3 linked regions of the Rattus norvegicus genome follow. The protein of the gene in region 2 binds, or shares a complex with, the protein of the main gene of each other region. Links are inferred from orthologs where the notes say so. Each region holds a gene or a part of one and is shown on either strand. Other genes may lie near its edges. The genes, in order: Sh3bp1, Abl1 and Crk.

Region 1 (9,766 bases), on a different chromosome or scaffold from region 2:
TCACCTAAGGCCTATTTTCAGGAAAAGCCCAGCATGGATCATGGACTGAACCGAGGACCCCGGGTTCCTCAGATGATTCTTGGTCCATTTAATCTTTGACTCTCTCCCCCTTGCCAAACAGAGTCCAAGAGGATCTTAGAGCAAAGACTGCTCAGTATCTGTGGGACAGTGCAAGGCCCCTGAAATCCTATTCAATGAGGCAGAGTCCAGGTCAGCAATGGGAGGTTAGGTCTCTCAGAGAAGGGAACTATGGGTACCAGCAAGGGGTGGCATGGAGCCCTGTCACTCCCCCCACCCCTCATGTCTCAGCTCCTACCTCCTCCTGCATGCCCTCCGACAGCAGCAACAGGACACAAGCCTCGATGGGCAGGGCAATGTCACGGCCTAGATCTTGCAGGTGGGTTCTCAGGGACACCCCATATACTCTGGAGAAGGGGGCAGCCGTCGTCAAGGGGGAGGAGTCTGTGGGAATGAGACACATCAGTAGCCTGGTCCTTTCTGCCCCAGGCAGTAGGGCCAGGGCAGACAGGGCACCTCCAGGAATCCGCCTTCCACCCTGTTTCAGTACCACACACACAACCATCTTGGATCTGCCCACCCCCACTGCTCTGCCTAGCCCAGATCCCAACCTTCTAGAAGGTCTCATGTTCCTTCTCTATCCTCCACAGCAGTAGAAAGCCAGCCCCCGAAGACCTAATCCAGCCTGCTCCCTGCTCCACAACTCTCTACTGCCTTTCAGGATAAGGAGCAAACTTTTTGTTTGTTTTTGTTTTTCAAGACAGGGTAGTCTCCTGGAACTCTCTATGTAGACTAGGCTGACTTCAAACTCAGAGATCCACCTGTCTCCACCACCCAAGTGCCCCAGATTAAAGTGTTTGTCACTCTGCCTAGTAAGGAGCAAACGTTTAGCATTGTAAGGTCAGAGGTGAGGCTGGTTCATTCATGTCCCCACCTGCTTGGCTGTGGTTGTCCCTCAGCTCAGCTAGGGCCGTGTCAAGGGAGGTTAGTGACTTGCGATGGTAGTCAGCCTGAATCTCCAGGAGCTGTGGAGACAAAGGCCATCCCCCAGGACCAGTGAGAAAAGTGGAGACTTTCCCAGCGTCTCCAGAACAGACACCCGCCATCTCTCGGAGGCCCCCAGCGGTGCTGGTGGCTGGAACTGGACCATGGACTCACATGAGTAAAGTAGTTGGCATATGAGTCCTCCTTGGTGGAGAAGTGGTAGAGATCAGCCAGGTACTCATCCTTGAGGACAGAAGGGAGAGGATGGGTGAGGCGGGGAATCCTGTGCTCGCCATGCAATCATTCATTCATTCATTCATTCTTGCTTTACTCCATGAACATCATTCACTCATTACTCAGCAAACACTGCTCACTCATTCATTCATTATCTTACCCAGCAAAAACACCCAACAATCATTCATCCTACAAATACTATTCATTCACTCAGCAAACACCACTCATTCATTCATTCATTCATTCATTCATTCATTCATTCATTCAACGTTAAGCATCCAGTGAACAACCACATCCCAGCTGTTAACATACACGATAAATATAGCAGAGGTCCTGGGTGGTGCCCCACTACATAAATTCTACCTGGGTTTAAAACACAGTGCTGGGGTTGGGGATTTAGCTCAGCGGTAGAGCGCTTGCCTAGCAAGCGCAAGGCCCTGGGTTCGGTCCCCAGCTCCGAAAAAAAGAAAACAAAAAACAAAAAACAAAAAAAAAAAAAAAACCCACAGTGCTGCCCGCACACTTCAATGTTCCCGTCGGTAAAATGGACCCACACCTGTCGTCTATGCAGACATCCCAAATCATCTCACCTTGCACTGTTCCACCTTTCTCTTCAGCTCCTCCTCGTCTTCCTTCAGCGTCTCCACCTTGTTGGCAGTGGCCATGTGGGTGTGACTGCTTGAGCCACCACCCAGGCTTTGGCTGCTTCCCGAGTTCTTGGCTGCCTGGCTGAGCCTGGGGAGGGTCCCAAAGTGGGTGGTCACTGGCCCCATTGCAGGGCCAGAGCTAAGTGTCCCCTCCATACACGTAATCACACAGGACTCTAGGGTTTACAGAGGCAAAATAGAAATTCCTTGGGCCTCTGCCCAGACTAGGCCAAAGTGCTCTAGGCCTCCTTCTGGTGGTGGTCCTGGTGATCGCAACTACTTGGCTCCAGAATACAGAATAGGAGGGAGCTCTAGAACCATCTAGGGATCTTGGAGACTAGTGGTTTTCCTGGTTTGGGGTCACCTGTGGCACAAGGGAACATATGCACACCTTCACATACACATGCCTTTACCACATGTGTTCTCAAGGACCAGCATGGCCACAAGGACCCAGCGGGGCCTGCAGAACCCTCGACCTATGACTTGACCTAGACTCAGGTGCCCACCTGCTTTTGAGGGTGTTCCAGTCAGACACCAGCTTCTGAAGGCTCTTCTTGCGCTTGAGGATGGCAGGCAGCTCCTCCTGAGGGCAGGCACAGGGAGGGCTCAGGGGGTCTGGTGGGGGCAGGGACAGCAGGAAGCTGGGGAAGCTGGGAGCGTGGGGGTGCACAGTCACCTCGCTCAGCCTGTTGAGCGGCTGCAGGACATCTCTCTCCAGGGTCATCTCAAACTCTGCTAGGATTCTGGCCAGCTGGTTCTGGATGGCACAGCTCATCTCTAAGGCTTTCCTGTGGACAGAGATTCCCAGTGGGCCAAGGCTCCCTTGGTCCCTCACCCCAGCTTGGTCATCCATCCTACCCAGCCAGGTAGACACCCTGGCTGATCTGACCCCCTCATTGCTTCCTGGCATTCTTTAGTGAAGAGCCAGGCCCCAACTATGCTCACCCCATGCTGGAATCGGGATCCAACTCCTTGAAGCTTTCAGCCATTGCGGTAGAAAGAGCCATGAGGGGAAGCTTCTTCTGCAGGGAGGGAAGGGTGAGTGAGCCTGAGTTTGCGAGTTTCCTCCACCTTACCTGAGCCCACAGCACCCAGCCAAACCCATACATCAGCAGAGGGAAGAGCCAACTGAACAGACCCACATTCATAGGGGGAAACTGGATGATGATGGTGTGCCCCCCCAACTCATGCACACATCTCACACAGACCTGGGATCCCTCCCTCTTTCCCTTCTAGAAGCTACTTGACTGGACAAGAAGGAATGAGCAATCCCAGGGAGACTAGACTACGCAGAGGGAGGGAGTAGTAAGCTGTCCCAAGGTTACACCCCTGCAAAGAGCTGGTCTTGTGGCTAGGGTGGGATGGCCTAACCTCCTTTCCCAGCCTTATGGCCTAGGTGGTTAATCCGATTATTCTGTAGCCCAAGCTCCCCAAGGTATCTATTGCCTCACACCCAGACCCTCTTCTGGGGCAGCAGGGAGGGGGCAGGCATGCTTGGTGTTCTTAGCAGACTAGAGAGCATGTCGGAGTCCCTGCGACTGTACAGTGGTGAATCTCGTGGGTGATAGGAACTGAACCCAGGTCTCTCCAAGAGCAAGTGCTTTGCTGAGAGGATCCTCCAGCTCCGGCCACGTGAATTTTTAACTATCCCCGGACTTCCGCCAGGAGTTATAGAAAACACTACATTTACAATCAGAGGGACCCCAGGGCCACTTTTGTGACTTGCCACCTGTGTGATCTTGGGCTGCTAAGTTTAGATCTCGGTTTCCCATTATACACAGGTGACTTGTACAAGGGGGTGTCGCCAGGGCCGTTGCCAGCAGTGGGGAGACAATGCATTGGCAGTCTTAGCAACGGGAGTAGCAGGAGTCAGAAAACGCTGCCTGCTGGGTAGCAGTGAGCATCCTCCATCCAGTTCAGATGGTGTTCCGCCCACCTAGACCACTTGGGGGGCGTACTAGCTGGGAGCAAAGCTCAGACGCCACAGAGCACCCAGAGCGCCTCATTCCCACCCCGTCCTTCACCTCACAGGTCTCTTCCTCCCGGAGATCCCACTTACCACCCGCTTGTCCATGTCAGCCCCGCTTTGGCCCTGCAGACAGGCCTGCAGCCTTTTGTGAACATTGTGGGCTGCTCGCTTAGCTGGTTCCAACCGCTGCTCTACCTGGGAGGTACAGGGGAGGGACATGTGGGGGCTGTATATTGTGAGGGACCCTCTCTCATTGCTCTGTTTTCTCCACCAGAACAAGGACCCCTTTCCCCTGTCCCACCCCCCACCCCCCACCCCCCCTCCCCTGGCCAGCAAGGAATGACACAACCAGGCCCTTGACTGCTGTCCCTGCCTGCCAGCCTCTATACTGACAGCTTGCACGGACCTGCCTCCCAGCCCAGCCCGCCCAGGCACGTACCTGCAGCAGGTCCTCACCCAAGAACTCGGCAGTCTCAGGGGTGCTGTGGGGGAAGGGGGCTTCTGCTGAGTCAGTCTGGGTTAGGATACCCACTGCCTCCCTCTATCCCCTGCATATGGAACCTGAGCCCAAGTTGCTTCCAGGACCCGCCAAGCCTGGGTGGCCCATCCACATGGGAGCTGGGGCACATTCCATGCCTGCTTCCTCCTCCACCCAGGGCTGTGTCCTGAGAGAGGGTGGACCCATGACACCAAAAAGGCAGGAGGGAGCTACCCAAGGCCCAACTTTGGGACAGAGGAAAAGTTTCTCATCTTCCCATCCCCCAAATTGTTTGCCTGGCCCGGAAAGAGGAGGCCTAAGCTGGCCCCCAGAACGGGAAGTGTGGAAGCTGGTCTCGGGGTGGCCAGGCCCACAGGCACACGACATTGAACTGCGGCTGTGGGCAGGTCCAGGGACTCTGCCCAAAGATACATAGGGACATAGGTTCAGGGCAAAGTGGCTTGGCTTCCGTAGGTACATGTAAGTATTTGTGTCACTGTAGGACTATCAAGTTTCTGGATACACAGTCACCTCTCTGGGCCCAAAGAATGGGGAACTCCCAGGCTGGGGAAGAGGGACAGAAAGAAAAGCTCCGAGAAACTCCCCAAACTTCCGCTCCCATAGTTGTGGAGCTGGGAACCGAGAAGACCAAGCGGTGTCTCTACCTGAGCCTGCGAAAGCAGAAGCAGGACCAAAAGGCAGGAGGCCCCTGGGCTGGGGGAGGGGACGGACACCCAAAGCAGAGCAGGCCCCACCTCCCCAAGCCAGAACACTGCCAGTCCCTTCCCCCAGGGTCTGGGGCGCCCCCGATTCGCTCCATTCCTCCCCTTCCCTCCAGTTAGAGGTGGTTAATTGTTCCCATTGTCCAGAGGGGACAAATGAGGTTCCAGGCAGAGTCCTGGCTCAGGGCGCATTCTGCTCTCTGCTCTCTGCAGCCTCTTCAATCAGGAATGGAGGTGCCCCCCCCAACCCCCCAACCTCCTGCAAAAGCCAGCTAAGCCTGTACGACCACAGTGGCTTCAGACCCCAGGGAGCCAGGTCAGGGCTCTGGAATGCCGAAGGGCCGCTATCCAGATGTCTTCGACCTCTTTGACCGGTTCCCCACTCTCCAGCGCCCGCTCAGGTCCTGCGAGACGACAGCACAGCTAGAAGCGGGTGACACTCACCGTCCCGAGCTGCCCGTGTGGGCCAGCTGCCGCATGCGGTGCAGCTGCCTCTTCATCATCTTGGGTCCGGGCTGGGAGCCGAGGAGTCACCTAAGGGGTTGAGGCTGGCAGCCCCCGGCCCAGCCTGCTTCCCCGCGCGCTTCGCCCCGGATGGGTGGGCGGCGCTCTGGCTTCCTGGGCCGGCGCGCTCCTCCGGCTGGTGCTGGCGCTGGCGCGGGCGCTCTCCTCCCCCGCTCACGACTCCGCCCCCGGACCCCAGGTCACTCCTTTCTCCAAGTTTGGAGTCTCGCTCTCTCACTGCTTCCGGGCCACAACGACCCCCGGGCCGTTCTCCTGCCGAGTGTCCGCCGGTCTGTCTCTCTGCGGTCCACAGTTGAGTGCGGGCTCTTCCTTCCCGCACCCTGCCCGGTCGCCGCGGCGGGTGGCGGGAAGCAGGTAAGCTGCTCCTGCCACCACCGCCCTGGGTATAAACAACCTTTGCTCTCTTAAAGGGAAAAAAAGGCTGCCTAGAAGGGACAGGCCAGAGACAGGCCTTCAGGAACCTGTGCAGGCCAGTCACTAGGAGATGCTCCTTGGAGACTTCTCCACCATACCATTCCCTGACCATCCCTCATGCCTGCTGGAAAACTGACTGGGAACTTGGGGTACCTGGGGACCACCAGGGACTAATGTCCAAAGTTCTACATTCACTGTGTATAGTGGCTCGATAGGACAACTGCCCTGGACCAGTCTATGCCACAGGGTAAACAAGATACCCCAGCCTGCTCCTCAGCCCTAGAACTCCTGTCTCCGCTCCACACTTTAAGGGTCCTGAGCTTGGACAGCTTCTTCTATCTGCATAACTCTCATTTCTTCTAGCAAATGTCCCTGGTCCCTGCCCTTCCTTCTTGTCAGGCCTTACTATGGGTGCTGCTCTGAGCCCCCAAACCAGATAGAAGTTTTCTCGTCGAAATACTCGGCTGAAAACCAGCCTGGGCATACATTAGGTGTTCATAACTACAGGGCCAGAGAGCCCGTAGGCAATAGTAAGCTGACTCTAGTGTACACCCTTCAGGCTTGGGGAGGGGGAGGGGCAGCTACAGGAAGCCCTGAACACCACACTGAGCTTTGCTCTGCTCGGTTAGTTTCAGTTCAGAGCCGGCACCACTTGAGCACCTACTGTGTGGGGGTAGACAGTTGGTGTGCTTCTTGAAGACATTCCCTTTGCCCAAGACATCTTGTACTCAGCACAGGCACTCACTGGGAGCAGGCAGCCACTTTACTCATTTAAGAAGAAGCCCTACGGAGGGGCTGGGGATTTAGCTCAATGGTAGAGCGCTTGCCTAGGAAGCGCAAGGCCCTGGGTCCCGTCCTCAGCTCTGGAAAAAAAGAAAGAAAGAAAGAAAAAAAAAAGTCCTGGGGGTTGGGGATTTAGCTCAGTGGTAGAGCGCTTGACTAGCAAGGCCCTGGGTTCGGTCCCCAGCTCCGGGAAAAAAAAAAAAAAAAGTCCTATGGAGACTGGGGAAGCCAGCGGCAAGAACCAGAACATCCCAGCCAGGAACAGCTCCTCAGCAGTGGAATCCTGGCTCTGCGGTGGGGAGTTGAGACCGCAGCACAGACTCCTTACCTTTCATTTACTAATGAGAAGAAGGCTGCTGGCCAGTGTTTGGAGAAGAGATGGCAGAAGATTCCAGAGAGGGGCCAGCCTTGGGGGGATACTAGAGTGGTCTAGAGCTGCTGGCCTCCTAATGTGTAAAGACTTGAGATATCTTGCTTCTAGTCCTAGCCTTTCCCCCACCCCCCCATCATCCAGGTCCTACCTAAAACATTCTTTCCGTTTCAGTTTTCCCTCCCTTGGCAATGGGTACATTCTACTGGGTGAGGCTTAGGAAGCTGATGAGTCCAGCTCCAGGAAGCACTTTCTCGCCTCTAGGGAAGTCTCTGATCTCTGGTGCTTCTGCCTTCATGTCCATGGCTGGTCGGCTGGTCGGGAAGGTACCACTAGGTTGGCCTGGCTTATACTCTATGCCTCCTAGGCTCGTCCAGGCCTAGTACTAACTAGCCTGGGGAGGGGACAGCTCCCTGGGCTGAAATAGCAGGTTTCTTTTCTGTCTTTTGGAAATGACCAGAGTGTATTACCAGCCCATCCAAGCCCTTGCTAGCCCCTCCCTCCTGTCTCCAGTTCTGGCTTTCTCTGCAGCCAGACCTGGGGACCTTCTGGATCTGAGCAGATAGAGTTGCTGTACTTCTTGGCTGGGTGACCTTGGTGTTGAATCATTGAGGGTTGGAAGCCCTGAAGGTTGGATCACAGGCGATTCCGTCAAAGAATGTTGTAATCAGAAGCTTTGATTAGTAAATTTAAATTTTTTTAAAGTTTAATTTTATGCATACACGTGTTTTGCCTGCATGTGTGTCTTTGAACCATGAGATGCAGTGGAGGACAGATTATTGTGAACCACCATGGGGGTGCTGGGAATCGAACCTCGTTCTCTAGAAGGGCAGCCTTAAATTAATCTCTGAGCCAGCTCTCTAGCTCCATCACAATTTTTATTGACTGCGTGCGTGTGCACACATGTGTGTAAACATCACAACTCTCGTAGGGCAGTCGGAGGACAATGGATGGGAGTCAGTTCTCTCTCTCCTTCCACCACGTTGGGGTTCAAACTCAGGTTCTCATGCATGATGGCAGAACCTTCACGCACTGAGCTGTTTTGCCAGCCCCCTTTTTTATTTTTTTTGAGCCAGTCCCACAAAGTTGTCCAACTAGTCTTGAACTTGTGGTGCTCTTGTCTCTCCAGTAGTAGATATTATAGTTATATATGGCCAAGAACCACTCAAAGGACCATGGACTTTAGAACTGCACAAAAGTACCTCAGAGGTCACTAGCCAACCCCTCCCTGGGCCCTTCCCTAAACTATGAGCCTGTTTATCTATCTCAGCCTCTGGGGCTCACGGTATCAGATCTGTGATTACCTGCATCCCCAAAGAACAGCCATTTGGCTTGGGGTGTGGGGCAGGGGGGGTTTTCTCATCAGCACACAAACTGAAAGACCTTGGATAAGAAAGCTCACCCCTCAGCCACAAACAACATAACTTAATAGGATTACAGGAATTAGCGTGTAAAATTCTCAGAAAAGTGCCTGGCATTGTCTGCTGTTATTTTTCAAATGTCTTCCTGACGGAGAGAAGAGCTTTGACTACCCCTGCCTTAGTTGCCCTTGACATTTGTATGGCTGCCTTAGGCCAGAATTTACTGATGTGTCCCTTGGGTCATTCTTCCCTAAGGTCGGTATCTTTGCCTCCTTTTGGCAGATGTGCACACCCCACTGACTGTGCAGTAGAGGCCAGGTCAGAAGGCAGACCGACGTCCTAGGAAGCATTATTGCTGTCTTTCTGCTGTGTACACTGTTGCCTAGAAACTCCTTCAAGGCTGGCCCTTGCTCCTGCCTTCCTGATGGCCACTGAGGAACTGACCAGTCTTCACACAGATTTGCCGGCAATCCCTATGACACTCTGGGTGGCATCTGCTAATGTGACTTGGGCGGATGTGGTCAGGGCAGCTGGTAGGCAGGCCGGGGTGGAGGTCGTTGGCTTCATTCTACTAGTTGAGCCGCTGCCACACAGCTTGACTGTGGCTATACTCGAAAGCCTCCAATTGGTTTCTGCCCACAGCAGCCAGGCAAGGTGTGTTTTCCTGGGGCTTTGGTGACTTCCTTGCCCACCCCTACTTCCACAGTTCAAAAGGCTTCAAGGAACCCTGGGGTGGAGCTGAAGCAGGACTCCCTCCTGCTGCTGCTAGCCCTGGGAGAATATGTGCTCTTGGTCCCAGCTGGGAGCAAAGCAGGCCAGTTGACGAAACTGGAGAGCAGGCTCAAGTGGCTAGGACAGTCTGCCATCTTGATGTCTACTCCCTCTAGACAGCTGGTCCAGTCTCCTGCTCACAGGACAATTCTGAGGACTTGGGGAGGGGGAGACTACTGGCAGCAGGCCCTGAAGCATGCCAGGGTGGGTGCCTTCCCTTGGCTGCCCTACGGGTAGTAGAGGTCACAGAAGGTGTCCCAGGGTAACAGAGCTCCTCTGCTTCACTTGACTTCTGCTAACAGATGAGCGGCCTGCCCTGTGGTTACTGCAAAATGAACTCTCATCAGTGTCCCAGAAATGGAAGTGTGGCTTTGAGGTCTGGGAAGCCCCACTGCTCTGGTGTGGTCCTGGGGTTCCTCATGTAAGACAGAGACAATACTTCCCAGGGTACCCATGCTAAGACAGGTGCAGGCTCCAGGGACACCCTTTG
Region 2 (8,997 bases):
CCAGAGGAGGGGGAGGCAGGGACCTGCCTACGGAGGAGTTTGGGGGTCAAGCTGGGAGGGCTGGAGCCAGGGCTGGATTCCGTGTCTTTGAAGACATCTTCGGCGGCCTCCTCAGTCTTCTTCACCAGCCGAGGAGGGGGTGTCGCTGTGCTTTTGGCCACCTGCTCAGACCTGCTCTCACTGGTGCGTTTCCGAGGCAGAGCTGGCTTTTCACTTTTGTGCCCTCCAAAGGTGGAAGAGTCAAACTGCTTACCAGCAGACGGCAGGTCCCGAGGCAGCGTGACTGACCGCCACTCAGTGTCCCTAACCCCATGGGGCATGCAGGAGGCCGAGCAGGAGCGCAGGAAGCGCTTACTGGAACTGAGGCCACTCTCCTCTTCAGCAGCAGCGAGGCGGCTGCTGGTCAGTGTGCTGCTCTTCTTCCACACATGGGGAGAGCGGAAGCCCGAGTTGCCTGGCTCCCGGAAGGCTCCATTGGGGACGCCAGCCCCATTGCTGGCCTTTGGGGACTTGGTAGGCTCTACTGCATCTGAGGTGAGAGCTGGTGGCCCATTGCTGATTTCCCGGCCGTCATCCTCACTAGCCCCTCTGCGTTCTGACTGGCCATCCATCTCTCGGAAGGAACTGCTGCGCTTAGGGGGCGTCGGCGCCATTTTCTTCTTCTTCTTGATCAAGGCGCTGAACAGGTTGGTCTTTTTGTCTTTGGGGAGGAGACGCTCATCTTCATTTAGGCTGCCGTCCGGGGGCCCACGCTCTTTCCGAGGAAGCAGTGGTGATACAGCAGGTTCACTGTCCAGTGCGTCTGAAACAGAGGAGAGAGTGAGCAACAGTGCCCAGCAAACGCTGCCTCAGGGCTAGCGACCCACTGTGGGGAGGCTCCGCATGGCGTGTCTGCACCCTCGGCCTTCATGGCACGAGCAGCTCGGAGCTCAGCACCACTGGAGGGCGGAAGACACAGCTGTGGCACTCCTCACGGCTCGGCCTTGTCATCGATATCATGATGACCCCTGTCACCGTCAGTAGAAGTAAAAGTCTCTCTCCCTGAACCCAGAGGGTCAAGGGCTGGAATGACCCTGCCTTCCTCATCCTGAAGCCTGTTAAAGCTGTGGAGCCCTCCACTGTCAGCAGAATGACAATGCCAAGTCAGACCTGCTGAGGGGAAGACATCAGCTGTCCCACGGGGGCATGACAATCAGCTGCTGTGACAACAGGGCAAGATGACCTTTACGAAACTTCACATGGGTATTTTTAAAACACGAGGGACATGGCTGGGCAGAGGTGCCTGCACCCTACACTCAGGAGGCAGAGGCAGCCAGATCTCTGAGTTTGGGGCCAGCCCAGTCTACAGAGTTCCAGGTCAGCTAGGGCTACACAGAGAAACCCTGTCTTGAAAAACAAAACAAAAAAGAAGCCTTTGTGCTGTCAGGCACTGCAGCCAACTGTACAAGGCTTCCTTCTGTCAGCCTCCAGGATGGAGGTAGACTGTGCAGCTGTCCTAAGACTGGTAGACATGAGCATCAGAATGAGGCAAGCAGAGGACCTGGGTCTCTACTGGGTCACAGAGCCACACCCAGAGCACAATGTTTGGGGCACTCCTGGCTCAGCAGATGACCTACCCAAAACTTCAGTAATGACACTGATGGAACAATCTCCCTCTCTCTCTCTCTCTCTCTCTCTCTCTCTCTCTCTCTCTCTCTCTCATCACTGCTCTCTCATCACTGGCTTTTTCTTTTCTTTTTTTTTTAATTTATTTATTTTATTTATATGTTAGTACACTGTCGTTCTCTTCTGACACTTCAGAAGAGAGCATCTCATTACAGATGGTTGTGAGCCACCATGTGGTTGCTGGGAATTGAACTCAGGACCTCTGGAAGAGCAGTCAGTGCTCTTAACCGCTGAGCCATCTCTCCAGCCCACACTGGCCTTTTCTAGTCGATGCTCCTGCAGCAGCTTCTCTTTCCCACTGCCAATGACCTGACAGCATGGCAGCCGATGGGGAAGACAGCACAGCTTGTGTGCTGCAGCTGACACAGGCGACACAGGGGAGGGAGATGATCCAGTGGCTCTACAATTTGGACTTTCTTGTTTATATAAACTTTCTTAAGACACACATGTGTGTGCACATGCCACAGCATATCTGTAGAGGTCAGAGGATAAGCGCAGGCATCAGTTCTCCCTCCCGAGGTTGTTTGAGGTAGTGTGTCTGTCGTTTACTGCTGTGTGTATAACACTAAGTGGCCCTTACATTTCTGAGGAGTCTCCTGCTGCCCCCTCCTGTCTCTGAGGAGTACCGGGAGTTTCGGACGTGTTTCCACATGTGACTCTGACTACTACTCAGCACTTCCCACTGAGCCACGCCCTCGTCTCGCATGCAAACTTCCAAACACACTCCTTTAGCACCTGTGTCTGGATAGCTTTATGACACAGTGACAGTCACCTGAGCAGAGAGCCTCAAATGAGAACACCCTTCCATAAGACTGGGCTATGGACAAGCCTGTGGAACATTTTTTTTTTTTCCGGAGCTGGGGACCGAACCCAGGGCCTTGCGCTCGCTAGGCAAGCGCTCTACCGCTGAGCTAAATCCCCAACCCTGGAACATTTTTTTAATTAGTGACTGATGGGGTGGGCCCAGCCCATTGTGAGTGGGGCCATCCCCAGGATGGTGATCACAGGCTCTATAAGAAAGCAGGCTGAGGAAGCCACAGGGAGCAAGGCAATAAGCAGCACCCTCCATGGCCTCTGCATCAGCTCCTGCTCCAGTTCCTGCCCTGACTGAGTTCCTGTCCTACTGGAGTGGATGATGACTTGTAGTGTGGAAGCATATGCTAAGGAACCACCGCTTTCCTCCTGCATCCTGCAGTCATAGCGCTTCCCGGCAGCAATCGTGACCCTGACTGAGACAGTCCCTAGAGCCCTTTTATGCTCTGTAGGTTTGACCATCAGCAGGAGTATAGGTTTAGAATTACAACTGTTTAAACAACAGAACTGTGGAGTCTGCTGAGCAATGCCTCCCATGAATTCCTAGCAGAATCAAACTTTATCCTGCCTGGTCCCACACAACCAGGCCGACGGCCCATCAGCCCATGATGGGAGCCCTCGGGGCCCTTTGAGTTCAGGGACGGGCGAGCAGCCCCCAGGTCAACTGACTTTAGTGGGTCTGCAGGAGAGGCGGATGCTGTTGTCCTGGCACTTACTCAGGGCACAGCCGGCATGCAAGAAGCTGCAGACACTTGTCATACTATCCCTGTAGATCTCCCCAGCTCCAGTGCCCTAACTGAGCCTGCAGACAGTTCACGGAGACAGCCTTTCTAGAGACCACACGGAACTCAGTGCTGACTGAGCCCGGACTGCTCCGTGGGCTCCATGTTGTTTAGTGCTGTGACTGCCCTGGAAGATGCCCACAGGGCTGTGAAGAGCACAGCAAAGGTGGATGTGCTTTCTTGGCAGGAGTCCCAGTTTTCAGCTTGTCTAAGCAACTGCTGAAAGGCTCCCCTGGGCAAGAGGCAAATCTTCTTCCCTGGGCTGGACCACTGAGGAGGGACTGATGCCCTCTGTGCCAGGCCCACTGACGGCTTCTGCTTGCCTGCCTGGTTTGAGGGGTGAGGGATGGGAAGGGCGGACGTACCGCTTTCGCCCAGGCCCTTCGTGTGGAGCAGTTCCAGGGCGTCAGGTGCATCTTTCTGCTCAGCGGTTTTCCTGCAGGTTCTGGTCTTGGTGGGCAGCTCTGGGGCCTGCAGGGTGCTCCCGGCGGCTCCTCTCATGCCTCGTTTCCCCAGCTCCTTCTCCACCTCTAAGGACCACATAAACATAACCCAGTAGTCATCAGCAAAGATGCCAGATTGCAAGGGATTCTTTTTTCTTTGCTCTTTTTCTAATTTATTTTAAAGTTACTTTTTTTATGTGTATGGCATTTTGCCTGCAGGTATGTCTGTGTACCACATGGGTGCAGAGGCCAGAAGCTGGTAATGGATCCTCTGTGACTAGTGTCGTGGGTTACCATCATCTGGGTGCTGAGAACTGACCCCAAGTCCTCTTAGCCACCATGCTAGCTCTCCAGTTCCTGGGATTCTCTTTTTCTTAAGATTTATGCAGTTAGAGAAAAGGAACACAAAGCAGAAGAAACAGCTCTTGGCATGTTCTAGAACTCTGCATGCCTGCACCTGACAGACACAGAGCCACCACCAAAGCCTCTGAAGAGTGCTGTCTGGTACCAGGTCTGAAGTGAAGGCTTGTCCAGCCTCAACCCAACCCTCAACCCACTGCAGGCCCCTGGGAGGCATGTTACCGTCTGAGATGCTGGACTCCTGGAACATGGTTTCAAAGGCTTGATGGATTTCAGCAAAGGAGGGCCGATCAGAGGGGTTCCACTGCCAACCTGGACAGAGAAGGCCACGTCAGAGCAGCCGGAGAGCATCGCTAACAAACCAGAACTAGCCACACCCAAGGAGCAGTCTGGACATGAAAGAGGCATTCCAAGCCTGCTGATGGCTGAGGCTGGGACAGGCTAATGGCAAAAACTCCTGTGTCCTCTGACAGACACTAAGAATTAAGAAGACATCATATACAGGCAGTAATACTGTTTGCAAAATCCCAGAGACACCGATAATAAAAACCACATCTATAAACATTTCTCCAAACCCCAGTGATAGACAGGGAGTTAACAAGGCAACAGCCTGCCTCGGTCACCATCCTTACTGATGCTATCAGTGTCTACCGTCCCCATTAGCACAGACGAGCATCTCTCTTGCTTCTTTGAGATTAGACCTCATTACTGTCTGGGCTGTTTGACAAGCAATACTCCTGCCTCAGCTTACCTTGCACTGAGACCACAGCCTGTATCACCAATAGCATGACAACGAGACTAAAAGGACTAGGGCTTGGAGAGGTGGCTCAGCAGCTCAGAGCCTTGCTGCTCTTGCACAGGACCCAGGTTCAGTTCCCAGTACCCATGGGACTCACAACCGTCTGCAACATCACTGGTTTGTTATCACAGCACAGATTCTTTGGACCTACGGCCCAGCTTTTAGGAATATCGTGCTACATGTAGAGACGAGGCTAATCGTGTGTGTCTGCCTTATACGCAGCAGCAAACACAGGGCCACAAAATGGCACACTCTGCCAAGACTGATGCTAAGTTTGACCACTGGGATCCACACAGTAGAAAAAGAGAATCAGCTCTTCAAAACTGTACACTGTAGAATGCATGCCCCATAAACAAACAAACAAAATAAATAATAAAAATATAATTAAAGCAAACAAGTGTGTAAAATATGAGTGGATGCTTCAAACTGTTAACTGAAATGCTAGACAGCAGCATTAATGAAGGTAGGGAACATGGTGAGGAAGATCTAAGTATACAGACAGCAGCACTATATGCTAGGAAAAAAAGGTGAGGGAATGATCACATGAACACATGATACAGCCATGTGCACACATGCACACCACACAGATGCGCTCATACACTCGCACAATACAAACACCAGAGTTCTATCATCTGGAGCGATTTGTAGCCAGGTATTTGGAAGCAGGACCTAGGGATCTGTACTAATAATACCCAGGTTGACATCTAACCCTCTCTATGCTTAAAGAACTTAAAGCGACCTGGGCATGGTGACTCATACCTGTAGTCCTCGAGCTTGTGTGGTTCAAGCAGGAGAGTCACTGTGTAGTCAGGGCTACATAGTTCAAGACCCTGATCCAAAACAAAAACCAAACAAAAACCAAAACTAGCTGTCCCAGAGGGAGACAAAACCAACCCAGAGGTACTACATCTGGGAATAAGCGCACGGAAGACTCAAAGTCACACTGCATGGATGGCTTGGGAACACAGGGACAGAGTGCCAGGGCCCACTGGAATGGCTTTGTGCAATTTCCTCAGAGTAGTGCTGAATGGGTTGGGGAGGCTCACATGCTCGCATGAGTTCGTAGACTTTCTCTGGGCAGCCTTCCGGGCGCTCCATGCGGTAGTCTTTTTCCAGCAGCTCATAAACCTGAGACAGGTCAATTCCCGGGTAAGGTGACATGCCATAGGTAGCAATTTCCCAGAGCAATACTCCAAATGCTGAAAGAAAGAGGGAGAGGAAGACTATCAGGGTGTGTGAGCATTGGCCAGTGAGGTAGCATCTGCACAAAGCTAATGACCTTTCAATCCTGAAACCCGGCATAAAGGTGGAAGGAGAGAAGTTGTCCACAGAGTTGTGCTCTGACAGTCACATGTGTGCCATAGCATGCACACAACCAAACAGACATATCACACACATACATACCAAAACACCCAAACACACACCCCGCCCCCAACACACACAGGACATACAGGCATTTTCCACGCTGTGCAGCAGAGAGACCTGCAGAGCAGTCCCAGCATTGACAGTTACCAGGCTCTCCATGGTAATAGCCTAGGAGAGGTAGGACAGAGCAAAGCTGTTTACTCAAGCTACTCTAAAGCATGCAAGGGAGAGAGGGGAAGGTGAGCCTCCTGGGGCACAGGGTCCCCCTCGGGTAGGCAGCATAGGGCTCTAAGTCAGCTGCCATGTTCTGAGCATAGCTCTGTGACTGTAGCCACATGCCTGTCGGGCCGTGGGTTGTTTGAAGGTGAGATTACTTCCAAGGTCCCTTCCAGCTGCAACAGTTTGTAAAAATCTTGTGAACTGTCAAAGTCGTGGCATCCTTCTTCCCACTAAGAACCAGGATTCCTTAGAAAAACAGGTGATTGAGACCTAAGACAGGGAAGAAGCCCGGACTATCTTGTTCCCTGGAGCACAGATATTGTGGAAGACTACAGGGTACTGTCAAAGGACAAGGAAGGAGACGGCCAGAGATGAGGAGAAGAAGCACAGTATACTGGAACACAGGAATGTGTCAACAAAGAACTCAGAGTGACACCACAAAACACTAGCAAATCAACTGCCACCAGCACAGGGCACTTGGAAAAGTGGGAGACATGAAAGGCAGTTTCTGAACCCACCACTCCTATACGAAGTCTACCACTGGACAACCAAGGACACAGAGGCTTTTCCTTTTATACTCCATGGCTACAGCCTGTTGAGAATACCACTGACCATCAATTGCTGCTACACCGTATCCCTCCAGTGCAGCGGTGTCTCAGCCTTCCTGATGCTGGGACCCTTAATACGGTTCCTCATGGTGTGGTGACCCCAAGCATCGAATTATTTTCATTGCTACTTCATAATTACAATTTTGTTATTGTTATAGATTATAATGCAAATATTTTTGGAAATAGGTTGTCAAAAGGGTCATGACCCACAGGTTGAGAATCACTGTACCAGAGGGAGAAAACTCAAGCATAGATCAACCAACCTAAAACCATCAGCCTCAGGGGTTGGGGATTTAGCTCAGTGGTAGAGCGCTTGCCTAGCAAGCGCAAGGCCCTGGGTTCGGTCCCCAGCTCCGAAACAAAAGAAAACAAAAAAAAAAAAAAAAAAACCTCAAACAAACAAACAACCCATCAGCCTCTGCTAACGTACTGAATGAAAGAAAAGTCAACTCAAATGTCAGCAGCTAACCAGACCTGACCCAGATCACAGCACAGAGACACAGTGAACACAGTCTAGAATCTAGACAGTCTAAAGAAAAGGGACAGAGTTTATCAATAAATGACCAGCAGGGAAATACAATCAGTGATGGCAGACCCAGGATAAAGACACACAGGACACATCAATGCATTGAGAGAGGCATGTCTGGTTCCCAAGTGAGGCAAATACTGAAATGTGTGTGTGCAAAATCATGTCTGGAGTTTGCTTTAAAATAACAAGAGGAAAGGGAGTAGGCGGGGCACAGGGCTCACTACTCAACTCCACCTTCTTTGATTACTCTTGGCATGAAAAGTTCTTAAAGCTGGGCAGTGGTGGAGCACACCTTTAATCCTAGCACTTGGGAGGCAGAGGCAGAGGCGGAGGCAGGTGGATTTCTGCCTACAGATTGAGTTCCAGGACAGTTGCAGTTGTATAGAGAGATCCTATCTCAGAAAAAAAAGTTCTTTTTTTTTTTTGGAGCTGAGGACTGAACCCAGGGCCCTGCGCTTGCTAGGCAAGGGCTCTACCACTGAGCTAAATCCCCAACCCCCAAAAAGAAGCTCTTTAAAAATGAAAATAAACAACAGGTGACACTTCCACATGAAGTGCCCTGTTTACAGCCCAAGCCAAAGTGACCAGCTTTCTGCAGAGAATATGATTCTGGATGCCGCCCCAGGGTGGGCTCTGGCATCATCAAATCCAAGCAGCAATATGGAATGAAGACCTGAAGGTGGTGCTATTCTGGATCATTCTAGAAGTGGCTTTTGCTTTATTTGTTAAAGAAAAGAACAAACAGGAGTTTAAAATAAGCCAGAAACAAACCAGAAAGACTGTGGTGATGGAGGAGAGATGGAGGTGTGGCAGTAAAGAGTGAAGGAAGTAGAAGGGGAGTCCCCTGGCCAGGACTGGCCAGGATCTGGCCCTTACCCCAGACGTCCGACTTGATGGAGAACTTGTTATAGGCCAGGCTCTCGGGTGCAGTCCACTTGATGGGGAACTTGGCTCCAGCATGGGCTGTGTAGGTGTCCCCTGTCATCAACCTGCTTAGGCCAAAATCAGCCACCTTCACCAAGTGGTTTTCCCCTACCAGGCAGTTCCGGGCAGCAAGGTCTCTGAGAAAAGAAAAGGGTCATCTGCGGGTGCTCCTGGCTGACACCCTTCCTGTGTCGCTCCCTACTACTGACAGGCATGATGCTGACAAGGAAGATTCAGTGTGGCCCCCAGAAGCTTCCGAATGCCCTGCCGTGGAGCGACCATTCCTCAGCAAATACTAGTCAGGCTGTGTAGCACGGGCAGGGCAGACACAGTGGAAATGGGGCAGTTCTGCCCCACGACCTGGAGCCTGTTAATTACCTTGGAACTTGGCTACCTCATCCATGACACGAAGACGGTAACCAAGCGTGCCTTGGGCAGCTGTGGTATCCCTACTTTCCTCTTGCTTCCTGATGCAGACTCCAGTGTGTTT
Region 3 (9,652 bases), on a different chromosome or scaffold from region 2:
GCCACCTGGGCTACCTGAGACTATTTCCAAAAAGTAACTAATATTAACAATAAACACATGAATAACGACTATGCAAACAAAACTCTTCTTAAAAAAAAATACAGTGGATATTTGCATGGTACTTTGTAGATCAAAGTTTGACAGAATCAGATTCTTATTTACTGGCTGTATAAACTGGTATCTCATTTCTCTGTGCCTCAGTTTATAAAACAGGTCATAGACCTATCTAACAGTTTCTGAAGTGGCTGATGAAGAGAACTGTCTAATCTAAGAAGAGCAGCCTCGTCTAAGGTGACACCCATCTCCAAAGACCTAAACAACAAAATCTCTGCTTTACAAAAAAGCCAGTGGCAAGGAGGCCAGTGAGCTGGCTCAGCAGGTCAGGGACTTGCCATCCAAGCCTGGTGATCTGAGCTCCTCTCTGAAGCCCACATGACTATGGAAAAGAACCCAGCTCCCACTAATCTCCACACCTCAGCACATGCACCCCTGAGAATAACAGTAAAAAATTACAGTCATTATATTAAAAGTGCTGGTGGTCAGTAAGATGGCCCAGTAAATAAAAGCATTTGCCACCAAGCTGACAGTCTTAGTCTGATCCCCAGAACTCACATGGCAGAACAGACCCTCTAAATTCCTTAAGAAATAAATGTTCAATTTCAGGCTGGGTGATGGCTTAGAGAATGGCGCTTGATGCACAGGCACAAGAATCTGCATTTAGATCTCCACCATTCACGATGAGAAGCCGAGTCTGGTGACATGCTCCTCCATGACATGCTCCTGTAAACTCAGCACTGGGAGGGAACACTGAGGTATCCCAGGGGCTAATGGCTAGCCAGCCTGGTCATCTGATGACAGCCAGGTGTGTAAAGAAACAAATAGAAAGCGCTAGAGGAAGGTGCCAGCCCAACACCCACCTCTAGCCTTCATACCTAGGGGCGCACAGACACGCTACAGACCTAACCCCAAGAAAATTTTACTTCACCCAAAAATCTTTGAACTACACTTTTTGCCAGAGAAGGTACCACAGTATCTCGGTAATCCTAGAAAGCAGAATAGTCTGATTAACTCAAAATTCTCTCCAGGAAATTTACAATTCACAGGAGTGTGGTAAAGCTGTGGCAAGTTCTACAGTTAATAAACTTATTTTATCTTACCATGGGACATCTTTTGTTGTTGTTGCATAAAGTTTCTCAATGATTACTAAAGAACTTCTCTGGAGAGCAGCCGAGCGATGGCTCAGCAGTTAAGAGCACATGCTGCTCTGCAGAGGACCTAGGTGGGTTCAGTTCTCAGCACTCAAAACCAATCCAATTCCAGAGTCTAATGCCCTCTTCTGGCCTCAGCAGGCACTGCATGTACATATATCTACACTTGTAGGCAAAAAACCATATACATAAAATTAAAGAAGAAAATCAAGAAAGAACTTCCCTGGAACCATTACATTTGGAGCATACCCTGACCATCCATCTCCAAAATGAGATAAGATGACCATAGCCAGGACCTTGTAAGCAAACACTGTAAGCTATATCCCCAGCCCAAGTTAAGGTCTGAGACTCACCCACCTACTAGGCAACAGTAACAGCAATCGAAACACTGTAGACCCAAGGTTCTCAACCTCAAGCCCTCTACCCCTTTCTACCCAGCATTACTAAGACACTGTGTGTTTACCAACCACATTGTGCGTGTCGAGAACCTTTCACAGCTGAGAGGCTTTTCCTTCCACTTGAATCATCTTCTAACATCATTATATTCTTAAGATTAAATTTATAACCTGGGTCTTTATGAAATATGCCTGCCACATTCAAGTGTCTTACATATTGCATATGAATCCATTTACTCATTACAATAGCTCACCTTATGAAGTATTGCTATTTTCCAACTTTCACAAATGAAAAAATTGTAGCAAACTTTAAAAAACAAAAATTGGGGGCTGGAGAGATAGCTCTGTGGACAGTTCAAGTCCCAGCAACCACATGGTGGCTCACAACCATCTGATACCCTCTTCTGATGTGTCTGAAGACAGTGACAGTGTACTCATTTACATAAATAAATAACTTTTTAAAAAAAGTGTCCAAAGTTATACAAGTAAGAAGTAGCAGGTGGGGCTGTAGAGATAGTTCAGCAGTCGGGAGCAGCGGCTGTAACTCCAGTACCAAGGATCCAATACCCTGACACAAACATACATGCAGGCAAACCACCAATGCACAACCAGAACTAGAGACCCAGTCTTGAAATTATACATGTGTATTTTCATTCAAGTTTGGATTTTGGCTTCTAATTCCCCGCCCGGCCTGAGAAAATCTAGCTTTATCTCCTAAATGCTGGGATTACAATTGCAGGCCTGTGTCACTAAGCCTGGTCTGTGTGACCTGGGATTGAAACCAGGGCCTTCATTCTTGCTAGAATGAAAATTCTATCAATTGACAGAAGCTGGGTACATCCCAACTTCTCATTCAGTTTAGAGGCCTCTATCAGTCAAAGTCTAGTCCTCGATCATTTCAAGTGGAGGAAATTAGTGGATCAATTCTCCCAAGTCTTCTCTTTGAAGCCCACCTTGCAGAACATGACCAGTAAACTCCAACAGACTTCCCCCTATAGCTCTGGGGCACAGTAAAGACGTTCCTAGGCCATCATCATAGCTTAGATCATCTGTGGGAGCTAAACATCTATGCTAGGTTCAAATAGGGTCATTGAGCTGGGCCGATGGCTCATCCTAACAGGGAGACAAAGGCAGGAGAAATTAGCCTGGTTTGGGGGCTGGAGAGATGGCTCAGAGGTTGAACACACTGACTATGCTTCCAAAGGTCCTGAGTTCAATTCCCAGCAACCACATGGTGCCTCACTACCATCTATAATGTGATCTAGGCACACTCTTCTGTCATGTAGGCAAAACACTGTACATAATAAATAAATCTTTAAAAAGAAAGAAATTAGCCTGGTCTACACAGAGAGTCCCATGTCAGGACTACAAAAAGATTCTATCTCAAAAAATAAGTGGGATAATGCAACAATCCCTGGCCTGTCTTACCCACATGCCTCTACAGTGTGTGCACACAAGTGTAATCAGTTCTAGGCCAGCCAGAACTACAGTATGTGCATGACTGATGTGAGTCTGTGGAAGTCAGGACAACTCTGAGGTGTTCCTTCTCTTATCCAACCCCGGGATTGAGGATCAAACAAGACCCTCAAGCTGGCAAAGCTGTGCTTTTGCCTACTGAGCCACTCTGCGGGATCTCAGAGCACTCAGATGGCAGAAGCAAGAATTCTCCTGAGTTCAAAGCCAGCCTAGTTTATATGGTTGCAGACCAGCTAGGGCTGCAGAGTGAAACCCTGTTTCAAAACAAAAGAATGGAGTTCCCTATGTGCACCCCAGGGATTCCAAAGCAAATAAACAAAGAATACCAAAATTATACAATAGTCAGTTCTCAGGTCACACTGTCTAGTTCAAATTCTGGTTTATATGCTAAATGTTACAGGTTACTGGATTTCTAGTTCTTCTCCCCACCTCCAAATGAAAATGTTTTAATAAATGGAGATTGCAGAATTTCACTCATTGGATTGTTTTACTGATGGTGAATTATATAAGGCACATTTAGCAAAGCATGTAGCATACAATAGTCAGTCAATAAGTGTAAACTATTAAAATTATATATGTCTCTCTAAAACTCAAGTAATTCCTGTGTGGCTTCAAAAGAAAAACAGTTTAATGGATGGCAGAACAGCGATTAAGTGACCATCATAAAGACAGCAAGTGAATTGAGTGTCCTACAGAGAAAATGGGGAACACGACAGAACAAATTGCCACAAAGCCAATGAACTTTCCACACCTAACCCACAAACTGGCAATCTTCTCCTCTCCTAGGCCAAACACCTATTTTGAAAAGGTGGAGCTACCGAGATATAAAACCACAAGCCTGCCTGATGCTAGTCCCACATTTTCAAACAAGGAGAAAACTGAGGACCGAGTCCCTCACCCCCAGCTATTGGGAATAAAACCTAGCCTCCCCAAATGTCAGGCAAATAAACTACCACTCAACTATATCCCTAGTCACACCCCCTAACATAACTTTTTATTTTGAGGCAGAATCTTGCTAAGTTTCCCAGATGACCTGGAACTTGTAAAATCTTGCCTCAGCCTCCTAGGTGCTGGGATTAAAAGCATGAATTATGAAACTTGGCTGAGAATTGAATTTCAACAATAACATTTCATCTTACTACTGCCCTTAACACAAAACAACAGATTATTTTACAGATAGCACAAAAATAGAATTTACTATGTTTAGGGCAATTGTGTTGTATCTGATTTTATATTATTAAACCAACAGACACAAAAAGACTAAGAAGACTTCAGTACTCAAATTTTCCCCTTACTTGTGTGCCAACACCAAGAACTGTTTATCCCACCTCTACCTCCTCATTTGTGGCCAAAGGGAGTAAGTCTAAATTAGGATGATCCTAAAAGGAGGTCTACTAAACGGCTAACCAGGGAGTCTCCATTCATGAGATTAGCTCAGCTCTAGGAGGAACAAGCTTGCACTTCAAACATCCAGAAAGCAAGAAGCTTGGTGCCAACACACAGAGACAACAGTAATCTCAGAATCACTGTGCATCTCACAAACTTCAAGGACGAAGTGCATGAATTTCCTTAACATTGCCAAGACAACTGCAATAATACAGCTGAGACAATTACAACTCAATGGTCCTCGATGAGGAAAACACAGCGGGATAATTATTCTTGGTGTATCTGCCAGCTAGGTCTGCTCTCATATCCTGGAAGATTTTGACCACAGCACCAACTTAGCAAGAAAAGACCCAGAAGTACGTTGACTGACACTGTTTAAGCCCAGGAAGAATGAAATTCCATTCACTTCCAAGGTTGTTCTCCCTGGCCTATGCTTGGTTTATTTCCTAAAGGAAAAAAAAAACCTTCCTCCACTAATCACTTTGAAACTAGAAACTCTACGTGCAGCGGGCAGTCTTTTGGACACTTAAAACCTCTTGGACACAATTTGCCAGCTAGGCTTCAATTACGCTGGGCTGGTCACAGAAAGCTTTTTTTCTATTACCAAGTCACTTAGTTCACCACCTTCCACAAGGGAAGAGCACGGTAAAAAGATTTTGGAAAAATGCCCAAGAAAGGAAAAAGCTGACCGGCTTCCTGAGGGTGTCTCCATCCCTCCCAGCCAGCCAAGTACGTGGTGACTTCCTACCGAAGGCCACCAGGGGAGTATGGCCAAACCCAGCTCTAACACTGCAGGAAACGTTTCAAGCCTAAAAGCCACTTGTAGGATTAGCAGATCCATTCTGGGCATCTCTGCCAAATGATGTCCCCGCAACATCCCCATTAACTCTTTGTCCCCAAGTTGCCTGGCCCTGCCCTGCCCTGCCCTTGGGCCTGACCCTGGCGCCCAGCCCCACCCCGGGGCCGCAGCAGTTCCCCTTCCCCGGCTCCCAAGGCACACCCAGAGGCCTCGGTGAGCAGCTCCTCCTCCCCCACAATCCCGCTCATCGGTGGGAACCAGCTTGGTCAGAAGGCAGCTCCCCCGCCAGGTTCACTCCAGCCCTCTCTGCCCACGTCCCTCCTGCAGCCGACCAGGGTTCTAGGGCCTTCACCCCCGCCCGGGCCTCCCGCCCGTCTGTCCCTCACCCGGCGGAGGCTGAGCGGGCGACGGAGGCACTGGAGGGCGCGGGCCGCTGCTGTTGATGATGTAGTGGGAGACGCGCGAGTTTTCGGAGACGCTGAGCACATAGTCCCCGGGGCTGGTGCTCGAGTCCCGCACCAGGAAAACCCCGTGCCGCTGGCCCTGCAATAGCGCCACCGCCTCCTGCCGGCTCAAGCGGCCCCAGTACCAGCTACTCCGCTCCTCCGAGTCGAAGTTGCCTGCCATGGCCGCCTCCGCGCCTTCACGCTGGGCCGCCGCCGGCACGCGCGCCCCTCCAGCCCTGGCGCCCGCCGCCCAGCGGACCGGCTCCGGTGTAAGCCTCCCAGCAGCGCCCGAAATGGCGGCGGCAGCCGCGGGCCTTCCCCACCGGAAATGACGCGCTCTCTACCCGAGGGAGGCTGCCGGGAAGGGGACCGCCGCCCGCCATTGGGAGAAGGGAAACGGAGTCCTTGGGGCCCGCAGTGCGCATGCGTCCTCATGGGCGTCGCCGCCCGGTCCAGAACCCCAACGGCGGAGGATGGGGAGGCGGAGTCTAGGTTTAAGGGGCGGAGCCTCAATCTTCAGACTGACTGGTGTTTGACTAACTGGTGTTTGACAGATTGGTAGAGGCGGTCTTTCTCCCAGGACCTACAGGTAGCAGCTCCAGTAAAAGGACTGGAGTAAAAAAGATGATGTGGTCCCAGGATGCCCTCAAAGCTCCCTAACAAGCTGGTCTTTCCCGGTGTTTCCTTCGGTTTCCCCGGAGGTCAGTCGAAGTTCTTGCTATCTAGGAGTAGCCATAGATAACACATTTGCCTTGCAGGTGCAGTACTGACCTAGACTGAGCCTTAAGTCACCGAATTCACAGACCAGTGGGAGGGATCAGGAAACCATTAATGTCTGCTGTGATGGGAAACAGAGACACAAGGAAATCAACTAAGTAATCCTAGAGGAATCCAAGGGCCGGGTAAAGTGACTATGACAGTAATCCCAACCCTTAGGAAACTGAGACAGGAGGATCACTGTGTTTCAGGCCCTATATTATAAAACGAAAGCAAATAAGAACAAGGAGTCCACAGATGAGATGGTGTAGGTTGAATGGTTCGGTGTTGAATGGCAAGTGGGGAAGGGTACTTAAGGCAAAGAAAACAAAATGTCCAGCCAGGCAAAGCAATGGAGTTCTCTCTATGGGAGCTCCCATGTCAACCAGCCAGATCCTTTTAAACTCTCATTTGTAGCCAGAGGAATCTCCTAGTTTCACTTCCTTCATGATCATCATCTATCTCAAAAAAAATTTTTAATGAAAAAATACTGGGGAGTGGGGTGTTCAGGATAGGGTTTCTCTGATAGCTCTTGCTCTCCTGGAACTCACTTTATAGAGCAGGCTGACCTTGAACTCAAAGATCCACCTGCCTCTGCCTCCCCAGTGCTGGGATCAAAGGTATGCACCACCTCTGCCTAGCCACTACTACTGCGTTTTGTATATAGTGAGACCCTGTCTCAAAACAAAACTAAAGTTATCCTTGTCCTAGTCAATAGCTCAGGCCTTCTAGAACTTCCACCCATAGCCTGAGCCAGCCCTGGGAGAGACAGCAGGGGAAAGGGCACCTTCCCTGTTATCAGTGACTCATCTTGGTCTAGCTTAGTCACCGGAACCAGCAGCAGAGGCCATTCAGTGTAAATTCTGGCCCTTTGGGAAAAAGGGCTACCCTTTCTCCCTTTTCAGGACAGCTGAGCTTCAAGGCAAGACCTTAACCAGAGACTCTGGGAAAGTCCAAACCCAGCTCTTAGGATAAGTGAAAAGGAAAGAGAGATTTGTTTTGCTTGCTTGTTTGTTTAAACAAGGTACCACTATGCAGTTCTGGACGGCACATCAGCTTGGCCTCAAACTGGCAGAGACCTGCCTGGCTTTGCCTCCCCAAGAAGAAATATGTATTCATTTACCATTGCATAGTCTTATGTATCTCAGGCTGGCCTCCTTCATGACAGAGCTGTGGATGGCCTTGAACTTCTGATCCTCCTACTGGGATTACTGGTGTGCACCACTATGGCAAAATCTTCTTTGTTTCCCACATTCTTTTATAATTTTTACATTTACTTACTTATGTATTTGTTCATTTGTGTGTGAAGGTCAGAGGACAGTTTGAGGGAATTGGTTCTTTCCTTCTGCCACGTAGGTACCGGGGTTCAAAACTCTGGACCTCAGGCTTGGCAGCAAATCTCTTTACCTGCTGAGCCATCTCACCAGCCCTCCACCTCCTCATTGATTTCATTTCTTTTTTTCTTTTTAGATGGAGGCTCACCTGTTTTGGCCTGGAATTCACTATGTAAACCACACTTGCTAGCCCCAAAGTCATGGAGATCCACCTGCTTCTGCCTCTCAAGTAGAATTAAGGGTCTTAAAGGTGTGTGTCACCACACCTGGCCTTCTTTTTTCTTTGAAAATACTCTTTTCAGAGGCTGGAGAGAAGGCTCAGCAGTTAAGATTTGCTGCTCTTGTAGAGGAACCAGGTTTGAATACAAGCACCCACATGACAATTCATAACTGTCCAAAACTCCATTTCCAGAGTGTCCAGCATACTCTTCTAGACTCCCACAGGTACAAAGACATTCACGCAGGCAAAACACTAGTATATATTGCATAAAATTAAAAAAAATTCTAGGGGCTGGAGAGATGGCTCAGCAGTTAAGAGCACTGACTGCTCTTCCTGAGGTCCTGAGTTCAATTCCCAGCAACCACATGGTGGTTCACAACCATCTGTAATGGGATCCGATGCCCTCTTCTGGTATATCTGAAGACAGCTTCAGTGTACTCATATAAATAAAACAAATCTTTTTAAAAAAAAATTCTAGACAGGGTTTCTCTGTGCAGTCCTGACTGTCCTGGAACTCACTCTCTAAACCAAGCTGGTCTCAAAATCCGAGATCTGCCTGTCTCTGCCTCCCCAGTGCTAGATTAAAGCATATTCCACCACCATTAAATATTTTAATTAACAAAAACAATTAAGCTTTCTCCTAAAGCAAGTGTGTCTGCCCATCTCGGTATCCTTGGCATTCACAGAAGCAGGAAAAGCATTGCAAGTTTGAGGCCAATCTGGTCAACATAGTGAGTTCCAAGCTAGCCAGCCCTAATTATTAAGATTCTGTCTGTAAAAACAACATAAAAAAAAATTACAACTGGGCTCATCACTTAAGAGCAGCTGCTCTAGGGGTTGGGGATTTGGCTCAGCAGTAGAGCTCTTGCCTAGCAAGCGCAAAGCCCTGGGTTCGGTCCCCAGCTCTGAAAAAAAAAAAAAAAAAAAAAAAAGAGCAGCTGCTCTTGCAGAGAATCTGAGGTTTCCATTCTCAACACCCACACAGCAGCTCACAGCCGTCCAACCACTGGGGATTGCAGTTCCCAGGGATCCATTGTCCTCTTCTGACCTCTACAGGCATCGAACTTACATGTGGTACACATACATGCTTGATGGCAAAACACTCAAACACATCTAATAACTGAACTGCAAAATAAACAGGGAAGTTCCATCAGTAGAGGAGACATGGCCTCTCTAGTGTGACCTTCCTCGACACTAAGAATCTGTAACCCCAAAGCCAGCAGGAGTCAGAGGTCACCCAGCAAGGAGAATTTAGCACTCTCATTTGACCCTTAGCCCTTTCTTCCCTCCCCTTCTTTTGTACCTAAGGAGCCAAAGGATTTCAGTCACAATGGTAGGTTTTGCTCCTTGATAAGCCTGAGATGTTCCCCACAAAGGAAATGACCTCCTAAAGAAGGATTCCTGGTGTGGGTTGGGGCCAGGAAGGAAGAGAGGGAACGATCTCCCTGAGAGACACAGATGCAAGGAGAAGAGAAATGGAAGACTCTGTAATCCAAGAGCAAAGTGCATCCAACCCTCCGAGGAGTCTCGACTAAAAGAAAGCCAGCCCTTATTCTAGTGCCAGAGAAGCAGAGAGTAGACAGGACAGTCTGCTTCTCTGTGTGTTCTGTGTCTCCTAAAGTCACCAGAGCT

The links.
Region 1: the proteins of Abl1 (region 2) and Sh3bp1 are in contact, whole or in part, in a crystal structure (PDB 1ABO), measured with the Mus musculus proteins. The link is inferred for Rattus norvegicus from reciprocal best matches to the Homo sapiens genes ABL1 and SH3BP1. Residues at the interface, in NP_033724.2 of Mus musculus: Tyr70, Phe72, Ser75, Gly76, Asp77, Thr79, Asn94, Glu98, Trp99, Trp110, Pro112, Asn114, Tyr115; in NP_001303613.1 of Mus musculus: Ala607, Pro608, Thr609, Met610, Pro611, Pro612, Pro613, Leu614, Pro615, Pro616.
Region 3: the proteins of Abl1 (region 2) and Crk are in contact, whole or in part, in an NMR structure (PDB 1JU5), measured with the Homo sapiens proteins. The link is inferred for Rattus norvegicus from reciprocal best matches to the Homo sapiens genes ABL1 and CRK. Residues at the interface, in NP_005148.2 of Homo sapiens: Tyr70, Phe72, Asp77, Asn78, Thr79, Asn94, His95, Asn96, Gly97, Glu98, Trp99, Trp110, Pro112, Ser113, Asn114, Tyr115; in NP_058431.2 of Homo sapiens: Pro44, Asp46, Asn63, Gly66, Pro67, Arg68, Pro69, Pro70, Val71, Pro72, Pro73, Ser74, Pro75, Pro80, Gly81, Ser83, Pro84, Ser85.

Annotation. Positions count from the first base shown.
Region 1 is NC_086025.1:112,334,047-112,343,812, reverse strand, and holds the start of Sh3bp1 (SH3 domain-binding protein 1), read right to left. Parts: upstream 5,556-9,766; coding exon 5,497-5,555; intron 5,457-5,496; exon of another isoform or gene 4,335-5,456; coding exon 4,292-4,334; intron 4,048-4,291; coding exon 3,943-4,047; intron 2,906-3,942; coding exon 2,829-2,905; intron 2,672-2,828; coding exon 2,560-2,671; intron 2,467-2,559; coding exon 2,390-2,466; intron 1,972-2,389; coding exon 1,827-1,971; intron 1,246-1,826; coding exon 1,177-1,245; intron 1,044-1,176; coding exon 953-1,043; intron 463-952; coding exon 317-462; intron 1-316. UniProt on the Homo sapiens protein: GTPase activating protein (GAP) which specifically converts GTP-bound Rho-type GTPases including RAC1 and CDC42 in their inactive GDP-bound form.
Region 2 is NC_086021.1:35,469,484-35,478,480, reverse strand, and holds part of Abl1 (tyrosine-protein kinase ABL1), read right to left. Parts: intron 8,645-8,997; coding exon 8,460-8,644; intron 6,062-8,459; coding exon 5,909-6,061; intron 4,376-5,908; coding exon 4,286-4,375; intron 3,791-4,285; coding exon 3,626-3,790; intron 803-3,625; coding exon 1-802. UniProt on the Homo sapiens protein: Non-receptor tyrosine-protein kinase that plays a role in many key processes linked to cell growth and survival such as cytoskeleton remodeling in response to extracellular stimuli, cell motility and adhesion, receptor endocytosis, autophagy, DNA damage response and apoptosis.
Region 3 is NC_086028.1:61,025,195-61,034,846, reverse strand, and holds the start of Crk (adapter molecule crk), read right to left. Parts: upstream 5,931-9,652; 5' UTR 5,892-5,930; coding exon 5,651-5,891; intron 1-5,650. UniProt on the Homo sapiens protein: Involved in cell branching and adhesion mediated by BCAR1-CRK-RAPGEF1 signaling and activation of RAP1.